Xenopus tropicalis: one gene and its partners. The protein of the gene in region 3 purifies or fractionates together with the protein of the main gene of each other region. This does not show direct contact. Links are inferred from orthologs where the notes say so. Each region holds a gene or a part of one and is shown on either strand. Other genes may lie near its edges.

Region 1 (3,135 bases), on a different chromosome or scaffold from region 3:
CATTTTTATATGCTGAAATCCAGCTGCAAAGCAGTTCTTCTCTTTCTGCATCATTTGAAATCCTGGCAGGGGAGGAGGGACTAAAACATTGATGTTACAAATTGTAACAACTTCTCCACAGCTTACAGACAGCATGCAGGAACTATATAACCCATAATGCATTGCACTGTGATGTTCCTTTCCTTAATGGCATCATATGTACAGGGAATTGTGGGATATGGAGGATGCAGACTGACAGGACAGGCGACTACTGATACATTTTATTTGAGCCTCAAAGTAGTCAGATCAGCAGGGGGCGGGGCTTAGGGAACTGTTACAAACCATATTATTACATTACAAATTATGAAAAGGCTGCATATTTTTAATTGATGTATATTGCAAAGTTGCTTGAAATTATGTTTACTTTTCAAAAAGCTCAAGTTGTGTTTGGGTAGAGAATAAACTGAGTGTACATATGTGTGTATTATTGATTAATGCAGCTAGGGAAAAATCAGCTTTATTTAGAAGCTGTAAATGACCCCTGTCTCATATGTATTACTGTATAGTGTGCCAGGCAGGGCTAATAATCTTGTGGTTATGGGGATTCACGTCCCCTTAGAAATATGTATTTATTTGTGCATGTTTGTTACGTATGGCTGACAGATAATTTTATAGTATAGATGGCGGGGGTTATAAGAGTCAGCTTAGCTTTAAACAGACCTATTGACTTGACCGTGGCAGAGTTGAGTGCCGGCAGTGACCCCCCCTTATTCCCATGAATTCAACACAGGGTGGATACCTCTTTACAGGGCCCTTTTAATAAATGGGCAAAAGGGGCATTTGCCAAGGGGCAAACTTTTGGCAGAAGCATTGAGCAAAGATGGCTGACCCCTCATTAACTTGAAGAGCTCTATAGTAGGGTTATTGTAATTTCTTTCCATTTTTCCTTTGGCATCACCCAGGGCTGTTGGTCGAGGGCAGCACACCAGTGGATCAAGGGTTGCCACCTGTCTGGGTTAGATAGGTGATGACATCAGCGGTTTGTGTGGTGACATCATCACAAACACCCCTTTTTCTGGGTTTATAACCTGGCAAAGGTGGAAAGCCATGTCTTCAGTCAAACCAGACCATTTCTTTACTGCCTGCTTTACTATATCAAACTTTACGTGCTTGAGGGTTATTCTATCACAAATTGCTTGGGGCAGTGGGGGCCCACCAGTGAAATTTTGCCCAGGGCCCCCTGGTACCTTTTAAGCAGCCCTACCTCTTTATGGTTACTATAGAAATTAAAAATGAATTTTTGATTGAATTAGCTACCAAGGGGGAGGCATTCAGTGACTGGGCTACAAATGAGCAAGCGTTAAGTCCGTAGCATAGTGTCATATTGGCAGCAGTGTTACTGGGGCTTTTGTGTATCTTTCTCTGTATAAACACAGAGAGCGTTGAACATAGTCCCTCTTTATGGATTATTTTAGCAATGTACCTTTACCTGTGTTCCTTTGTATTGCACAACCTAAACCAACAGCCAGTTTCCACATTACAAATCTTTAACTGGTATTTCCTTCCTTCCCCTGCAGCCTATAACCTGGCCAAGGAGCAGAGGCTGAACTTCGGAGATGATATCCCCAGTGCCCTGAGAATCGCCAAGAAGAAACGTTGGAACAGCATAGAAGAGAGACGAATCAACCAGGAGAATGAGCTGCACTCCTATCTCACCAAACTCATCCTGGCCGAGAAAGAGAGGTGGGGGTGGCCATTTGGCCTTCAGCCTCGGCCATAAGATACTTGTATGGGATGGGAATGAGCTTTTATGTTGGGTTCTTTGAACATGTCTATGGATCACGTCTCCGCCACAGCTCGGCCTCAGCTAATATTTTTATTTTATCCTTCGTTTACAGAGAACTTGAAGAAGCAAAGCGAAAACACCAAGAGGATAGTGTAGAGGAGAGTAGAAGTCGAGCCCTGTTGTCTAGTGTGGCTTCCAAACATGTGAGTAGGAGTCTTATGGGGGCATAGTGTTCTGGGGTTTCTTGCACCATTATTGTCTTTCTTGCTAGGCTGGGTTATCTAACGCAGGATGGAAATTTCCATGGATATTCCTGCTTGTAAGGGTTGTGGCAGAGATATTTGATTGTGTAGGCAGAGTTCATAAGGTCAAATTATCCCGATGTTGCCCACCTACATTACCTACAATACACAAGGTCACCAAACGAGCAGATCTTCTCCTGATATGCCCATTTCAGGTGGGCAACATCGGGATAATTTGATCATTTGGCCTTAGGACCAAATTACAATGAGCCGTCAATGAGTCGATGCGGTCCCCGAAGGTCCATCAGGGGGCCCCATACATGGGCAGATAAGGTTTTGAATCAGTCTAAATCACTCCAATCAGAAGCTTAAATCTACTTGTATATGGCCACCTTTATATACTGCTTTTCCACTGTCTCAGTACCTAAAGGGAAACCATGTTGGAGAGGGGTGCCACTGTGCTCAATAAGACAGTCCCTTTTACTTGATGGTAACTAAGCTGTATGAATCCATATTGGTGACTAAACAATCCTATTCGGTTTATGTCAGCTTTAAAGGGGTTGTTCAGCTTTGAGTTAACTTTTAGTATGATGTAGAATGATATTCTGAGATTGGTCTTCATTTCTTAATATTTGTAGTTTTTTAGTTATTTTCTTTTCAGTCCTGGAGCTCTCCAGCTTGGAGTTTCAACAGCTATTTGGATGCTAGGGTTCAAGTTACCTTAGCAACCAGGGAGTGGTTTGGATATCAGAGGGCCTGAATAGAAGAGAAAGTTACAAAAAGTAACAATAAAACTGGAGCCTCACAGAGCAGTAGTTTTTGGGCTGCTGGGGTCAGTGACCCCCATGTAAAAACTGCAAAGATTTTGGAGAAAAAGGCAAATGATTAAAAAACTATAACAAATAAATAACGAAGACCAGTTATAAAGTTGCTTAGAACTCCCATACCGTTGGCCATATTTAGGGTTGTGCCCATCAGAGCCAAGTTCCATGCCAAAACACCCCGCTTAATATATATAAGGGATGCTGGTTTATTGGTTGTATCAGCTGAGGCCTTGTCATGTTGTACAGCTGTGATCTGTGCTCTGAGTGGCAGGTGAGTTACCCTATCAGCCAGTGCCCCTGTAGC
Region 2 (3,658 bases), on a different chromosome or scaffold from region 3:
GTGTGGAGACTGCAGGAGGCTGTGTGGGCCGGGAGACTGCAGGAGGCTGTGTGGGCCGGGAGACTGCAGGAGGCTGTGTGGGCCGAGAGACTGCAGGAGGCTGTGTGGGCCGAGACACTGCTGGAGACGCGTGGGTTGGGCTAAGGGCAGAGGCGTCAGTGCTTAGAGGAATAACAGACAGTGTTACAGTTACACTTGTGCATTTATTTATTATTATCTGTTCAGCCAATAGAGACGCTTCGAGTGACAAAGGATCGACGTTCTGATTGGGCGTCATGTTTCACTTTATGAGAGACACCGAGCCACAAGACCCGGCCATGTTCCTCATGTGAGTGTGCGGCCAATACGACTGCCAGCCTTGTGTGCAAGTGCCACCCAGAGTCTCACACTGTTCCTCTCTTACAGGGACCCGTTCGCTCTGCATCGCCAGCACATGCGCCACATGTTCTCCGGGGACTACGGCGTGTCCCCCTTCCTGAGCCTCACCGACGGCAGTGTCAGGGGGCTTCCCCGGCCCGCCCCCTCGCGCACAATACAGGTCAGAGTCCCCCCTTTATGTCTCAGCCATGCTGCTTACCTCTGGGAACAACTGCACTCTATAGGTCGCTGCCAGTCACATGTTCTGTATGTGCTGAGTCTGTGCAACTGAACAACAGAAGCAAATGGCTGCCATTGTATCCTGTACCTGCCTGGCACATTCTGCTCAACCTCAGTGTCATTGTGCAAATACAATGGCTGGGAGTTACAGTTGAATTAAACCATTTGGGCAAATTACATATGGAGTAAAACATTACCGATGATGTTGCTCATAGCAGCCAATCAGATGCTTTGCTTTGGTTTTCTAATTGTTTTTTATTGCTTGAATGGTTGTTGCCATGGGCAACATCACTGGTAATGCTACACTTTTTACACAGCATGATAAGTATACCCCCTATAACTGTGTGTAAGCCCCCTTACACTTTATTTCTCCAACTTTAAAACATAGGAACAAAGAAAATAGTAATTGGGGGACGTGCTCCATAAACACTGATTTTCCAGGGTTCCTCACCCAAATCACCTCTAGGGTCCCATTTAACCTAGCAACCAGGCAGTGATTTGAAAGAGAGACAGGAATATGAATAGAGGAGGGCTTAGATAAAAAGATACGTACTAAAAAGGAAAAATAACAATAAAACTGTGGCCTCTCAGCAATAGTTTTTTGCTGCTGGGGTCAGTGACCCCCCCCCCCCTCCTATTTGAAAGAGTCAGAAGAAGGCGGCAAATAATTTTTTTTTAAAAAAACTATACAAACTAAAAAATGAAGACCAATTAACATACTAAAGGTTAACCTGAAGATGAGCCACCCCTTTATTAATAGGAAAGGAACATCCCAGTGCAATGCATTGTGGGTTATTCCGTTCCTGCATGCTGTCTGTAAGCTGTGGAGAAGTTGTTACAGTTTGTAACATCAATGTTTTAGTCCCTCCTCCCCTGCCAGGATTTCAAATGATACAGAAAGAGAAGAACTGTTTTGCAGCTGGATTTCAGCATATAAATGGTATTTATTCCTACTGTTTGAAGGAACAGATTACAGGGATAGGGATATTAGGGGTTTCTGTGTAGTTCCCCTTTAACCAAATACTGGCACGTAACTGTACGGTGAGTGTGGCACAATAATCTTTGGCTCACTGTGCTGAGAGTTTGCTTGTTTCCCTGTGTTCCTTGTTGTACTGGATTTTCTATCTCACAATGACTTCCTTTCCTTTCCATGTTCCCTCTCGGTGCTGCCGTCATCGTGGCCCTTACCAGCAAGGTGCGGTTACCCCTTATGGCATGATGGGAATGGTGAGTGCAACAGTAGCAAGCACGTGTACTGTACATTAAAGGGAAAATATACCTCTCAGATGTACTGTACATTAAAGGGAAAGTATACCTCTCAGATGTACTGTACATTGAAGGGAAAATATACCTCTCGGATGTACTGTACATTAAAGGGAAAATATACCTCTCGGATGTACTGTACATTAAAGGGAAAATATACCTCTCAGATGTACTGTACATTAAAGGGAAAATATACCTCTCGGATGTACTGTACATTAAAGGGAAAATATACCTCTCGGATGTACTGTACATTAAAGGGAAAATATACCTCTCGGATGTACTGTACATTAAAGGGAAAATATACCTCTCGGATGTACTGTACATTAAAGGGAAAATATACCTCTCGGATGTACTGTACATTAAAGGGAAAATATACCTCTCGGATGTACTGTACATTAAAGGGAAAATATACCTCTCGGATGTACTGTACATTAAAGGGAAAATATACCTCTCGGATGTACTGTACATTAAAGGGAAAATATACCTCTCGGATGTGCTGTACATTAAAGGGAAAATATACCTCTCGGATGTGCTGTACATTGAAGGGAAAATATACCTCTCGGATGTGCTGTACATTGAAGGGAAAATATACCTCTCGGATGTACTGTACATTAAAGGGAAAATATACCTCTCGGATGTACTGTACATTGAAGGGAAAATATACCTCTCGGATGTGCTGTACATTGAAGGGAAAATATACCTCTCGGATGTGCTGTACATTGAAGGGAAAATATACCTCTCGGATGTACTGTACATTAAAGGGAAAATATACCTCTCGGATGTACTGTACATTGAAGGGAAAATATACCTCTCGGATGTACTGTACATTGAAGGGAAAATATACCTCTCGGATGTACTGTACATTGAAGGGAAAATATACCTCTCGGATGTACTGTACATTAAAGGGAAAATATACCATCTCTCTAACCAGGAACAAGATTAGGGACAGGTTGAAAGACTCTGCCAGTCTGCATGGTGACGGGGAAAGGGTCTGTAGGAGTCAGAGGCCGACTAATCTCCTTTATCATGGTTTCCTCTCAGTCTGAGTAACTATGTCTGTCTGTAAAACAGACAGTTTCAATAGTGTTTAGGTACATTTTTTACATAAGGGTGCGTAATTTGCCCTTTTAATGAACAGAACAACCAGAAGCGCAGGCATTCAGACCAGTAATACATTTGTGTTATGTGGGTTGATGGAGTTCATTAATCAATTATGAAGCAATTATCTAAACCTCCTCGATAAAAATGAATCTCTTTACCAAAAGGCTTTTGGTAAATGAGGCTATGTTTTATAGAAAACATGTGTCCCCCCTGGAGGTGTGGTCTAATAGATCCCACAATCCACTGGGGGAAGATAATACTATTTTTGTCATATGTTTGTGCTCATTATACACATGCATTGGCACCAACATGGCCGCCTACAGCCGGAGCTCCCTACGTAGGTTGCACAGTGGCCCCGGGGGGCATTATCTTGCAAGAATAGTATTGTTTTCCCCAATTGGAGTCCAAGCTCTATTAGACTGGGGGGGAAACATGACACACATCCGCCTGTAAAGGAAATGCTAATACTGCTAACAGCCATGTAGGTAGGGAAATATTGCGGCCTGTTATAGATTAGACAAAAAAGATAAATCATGTAAAGAAATGTTTAGATTTTTTCTCTTGATGTGGTGGCATGATTTGTGTGTACTATAGTATGTAGGTCAGTGTGACCCGTGAGTCATGCCTTTAACTCTATAGCAACTCAGGCATTCGCTGTGCTCTCGGGGTTACGGCACCGTCTCTTTGTTTCATAGAT
Region 3 (3,758 bases):
TCCAAATTTCCATTCTGTAAATTGTCATGACAATTGACAGCGTAATCAAGTTTGCTTACTAGTTCTATGTCTTGGGCTGTCCAGAACAATTAATGGGCAATTAGCCTAAATCTCACCATAATTATGTCTCAGGCTGCCCCTCTGCCCACTGCTCCTCCATTGTGCTCCCTGCGATTTAGCACCTGGTGTAATATTCCAGTGCTTTGACTGAGAGGCTCTCCTAGGGAGCCAAATTAAAAGGGTAAACAAGATAACTAGTAACAGTTAACAGATTTTCAGGTTAACATTTGTAAGCTTTGGACACTTAAGGTGGCCATACACGGGCCGATTCTAGCTGCCAATATCTTTTTAAAATTTTTACCCCTGATGAAGACCCTTGATGGGTTGAAATGCGTTTGACTATACTTGCTATGATGTGTTTTTCGTATTGAATAAATTTCATTTTTTACTTATTGGTTTTGAGTGTGGAGATACTTTTTGCTTTCTTTAATATTGGCCCTTTAGACCAGTTCGGCAGCTTATCTGCCCATGTGTGGACACAAACGATGGGCCTGCCCCAACGATATCTGCCCTGAAATCGGGCAGATCTCGCTTGGGCAGGTTTGATTTTTCCGTTGGATCAGGGACAGCATCAGCTCGTTGATGCTGTCCCCAATCCGATGGCGCCTATACCTGCCGTTCTAATTTGATCGATTGGCCCCAGGGCCAAACGACCAAATTGGCCCAATATTGCCCACCCATAGGTGGGGATATCGGGAGAAGATATGCTTGCTTGGCGAGTTTTAGAAAGTATTAGCCAAAGTATTTTATCTGGTGGAGAAACGTCATGCCATTTAGATGAATGGAAACTACCTGTCACTGCTGGGGACAAACCGTTTCCATTCATCTACATAACAGGTGGCACAGAGATGTATCTGGCCATTTTTGACTGGCATATTTCAGCGATACATGTGCCACTGGCCTTAGGCTTGGGTTCAACAGAATAATAAAAAATGGAAATGTTGTGATACTCTTGCATTAATAGTACCTTTATCTTTGCAATGTGTTCCTGACTCTCTAATTGATTTACCTACCTCTTATCATATTCCGCTTGCATTTGAATTTGTCATCTCAATGCCATTATGAATTCTTTCCAGGCTTTACATCACATTACTGAGCCATGGTGGAGTATTACGATGTCCTGGGAGTCCAGAGGAACGCCTCTCCAGAAGATATTAAGAAAGCGTAAGTATTCCCTGGTTTGACGCTGAGGATATCCACTCTTATGGGGGGATTATTAAAACCATAGCACCTGGATACTTTATACTTTGTTTTTTTTGTATATAAAATTTTTTTTGGCAAGGATATTTTAGCCAGGAGTGCCCTCCATTTCTCTAAATTGACGCTGAGGATATGACTGGGCCATTGTGTGACAGCTCCATACACAGGCTGATGGGGGTTTCCACTCAGGAGGGATTGATGATGATGACGATGATGAGGAGGCACATAAAAGGCATGAGAGAACATGGCTGGGAAAGGATTAATTAGAGGAAAGATATGGAACACCCTGTGTGGCGGAACCTTATTTGCAGTTTGAAAGTTGCATTTAATGTTGCATTTCAATACCAATTACTAAACCCTATTCTCAATCAACTTGTATTCCAGATACCGCAAGCTAGCCTTAAAGTGGCACCCAGACAAGAACCCCGACAATAAAGATGAAGCCGAGAGGAGGTTCAAAGAAGTTGCTGAAGCTTATGAGGTCCTGTCAGATTGTAAGTATCTTCCCAAGACTCTTCCAACTTCCTTGGCTTGTAATTGTTTCCTTACTAGGCGCCCGATTTGCCCAAGGAGTTTGTTTTCATATATGGCATGATCGTTATTCAGCTGACACGAGTGATAGATCCTATCAATATTTATAATTAGGCTTGGCTTAAGCATACTAATCACTGACTGAGCTAATGAATTTAAAGGAGACATATTGTGTAAAAAACAAGAATGTGGTAGTGCATTATGCTCCTCTAAATACAGAAGGAATGTACTTTAAAAAGTTGTGTTTCAGGTGGATTTATTGAAAATTTCTCCAAAAACCCCACTAGTCCCGCCCATCTGTTCCACTCCCTGCTGCCTCCTTTCCCAGGCTGTGCAGGGGGGCCGGCGGCACTCGGCACACTGCATTGTAGGATAGGAACCAGAATTAAACCCTGCCTTTGCTTGTGTGACTGCAGGGCTGTGGTTGGCTGTGCTTCCTCCAGGGACGATTAGGACACACCCACCTTTTATTTGAAACACCGGCAGGGACCTGAGAGGATCTATAAGGAGCTCCAATAAAGGGGCCACAGATAGAATTAAGCACCATATATTATTCATAATTGCCTAAAAGATTGAGGGGGGATTTCACTTATCCTACATTTCTTCTTTAAAAAAAATGGTCATTATGCCCTTTCTGCTGAAAAGGGGTTTACGGTAAAAGTAGATTATTGAAGGATCCTTTGTTAATTTGTTTTCTATATTGTTGTGGGTATTACACTCATAATAAGGTGCTGGCCACTGGTATAAAACTTAGATAACAAACGTCATGTTAGTAGCTAAGCCGTCATACTGCTTGGAGAAAGTGTCAGAGCGGCTTTTGCAGCCTATTTAAAGGAGAAGTACACCACTTCCTGCTTTGTCTTAGTCCAGTAAGCAGGTTAGACTGATCTGTTGTTTTGTTTGGTTGAGGCTGGTGGGACGCGGCGAGGCACTTTTGAGCCTGGCCCTCGTGTGTTGGAATGCATTGCTTATTTATAGCCGTGTCTGTCCCCAGCTGCTGGGGAGACACACAAATACATCACAACAATGTTCTGCCTCAGAGAGAGACTGTGTGAAATTGTATCCTGAAATGATTTGCTAACTCCACTTAGACTAAACGGCTTGTATTTTATTTATTTATATTTGTTTGTTTCTTTCCCTTATAGCTAAAAAGAGGGATATTTATGATAAATATGGAAAAGAAGGATTGACAGGTGGTGGAGGTAAGTGCTAGTTTCATTTTAAACTTTTAACGCTATATTTATACCTCATTTATGCTTCCATGCAACTTAGATCCATTTCAGGGCCGTCTAGTTGGCTAGAGACCCTAATGTGCTCTATTTAATTGCCACTTGAGACCCAGCTACAGTGTGCAGCCTTTTCTTGCAGTCCAAGCCTAATTACACAGTGCGAAGAGTTCTATCAGATTGCCACAGAAATTCCTTGAGACCACAATATTCCATGCTTCTATATCCCTGTACTATGTGCAACCTTAATTGTATTTGATTACCTTTTATATTAAGAACAACTAATGCCGTTTTTCTATCTTTCAAGCTAATTAGGTTCTTTCTTATTTTTATTTTAGGCGGCAGTCACTTTGATAATCCATATGAGTTTGGATTTACATTCCGAAGCCCAGACGATGTTTTCAGGGATTTCTTTGGGGGAAGAGACCCATTTTCATTTGATTTATTTGGTATAGTGCACATATTTGTATTTTCTTTAATCTTAGATGTTTCTGCCGGGTTAAGGATTGTAATGTTACAGGTATTATTATATTACTGGTGTCAGGGAGTAATTTATATCCTGTTTCTCTTCCAGCTGACGATCCATTTGATGACTTCTTTGGCAGAAGAGGCCACAGAGCAAACAGAAGCAGGCCAGGGGGTTCCTTTCTCTCTACGTTTGGAGGTTTCCCTGCCTTTGGTCCTACCTTCTCTCCATTTGACTCGGGTACAGAGATGCAATACTCCTTTATCTGCACACTC

Evidence for each region.
Region 1: the proteins of dnajb6 (region 3) and stub1 purify together in Homo sapiens (affinity purification with mass spectrometry; 4 studies listed by BioGRID and IntAct, with this or other methods). This does not show direct contact. The link is inferred for Xenopus tropicalis from reciprocal best matches to the Homo sapiens genes DNAJB6 and STUB1.
Region 2: the proteins of dnajb6 (region 3) and mlf2 purify together in Homo sapiens (affinity purification with mass spectrometry; 3 studies listed by BioGRID and IntAct, with this or other methods). This does not show direct contact. The link is inferred for Xenopus tropicalis from reciprocal best matches to the Homo sapiens genes DNAJB6 and MLF2.

Annotation. Positions count from the first base shown.
Region 1 is NC_030685.2:14,823,207-14,826,341, forward strand, and holds part of stub1 (E3 ubiquitin-protein ligase CHIP), read left to right. Parts: intron 1-1,556; coding exon 1,557-1,722; intron 1,723-1,877; coding exon 1,878-1,968; intron 1,969-3,135. UniProt on the Homo sapiens protein: E3 ubiquitin-protein ligase which targets misfolded chaperone substrates towards proteasomal degradation.
Region 2 is NC_030683.2:9,834,266-9,837,923, forward strand, and holds part of mlf2 (myeloid leukemia factor 2), read left to right. Parts: intron 1-225; 5' UTR 226-275; coding exon 276-328; intron 329-405; coding exon 406-538; intron 539-1,788; coding exon 1,789-1,824; intron 1,825-3,658.
Region 3 is NC_030682.2:17,675,302-17,679,059, forward strand, and holds the start of dnajb6 (dnaJ homolog subfamily B member 6), read left to right. Parts: upstream 1-1,146; 5' UTR 1,147-1,159; coding exon 1,160-1,224; intron 1,225-1,644; coding exon 1,645-1,754; intron 1,755-2,936; coding exon 2,937-2,993; intron 2,994-3,355; coding exon 3,356-3,466; intron 3,467-3,591; coding exon 3,592-3,723; intron 3,724-3,758. UniProt on the Homo sapiens protein: Has a stimulatory effect on the ATPase activity of HSP70 in a dose-dependent and time-dependent manner and hence acts as a co-chaperone of HSP70. Plays an indispensable role in the organization of KRT8/KRT18 filaments.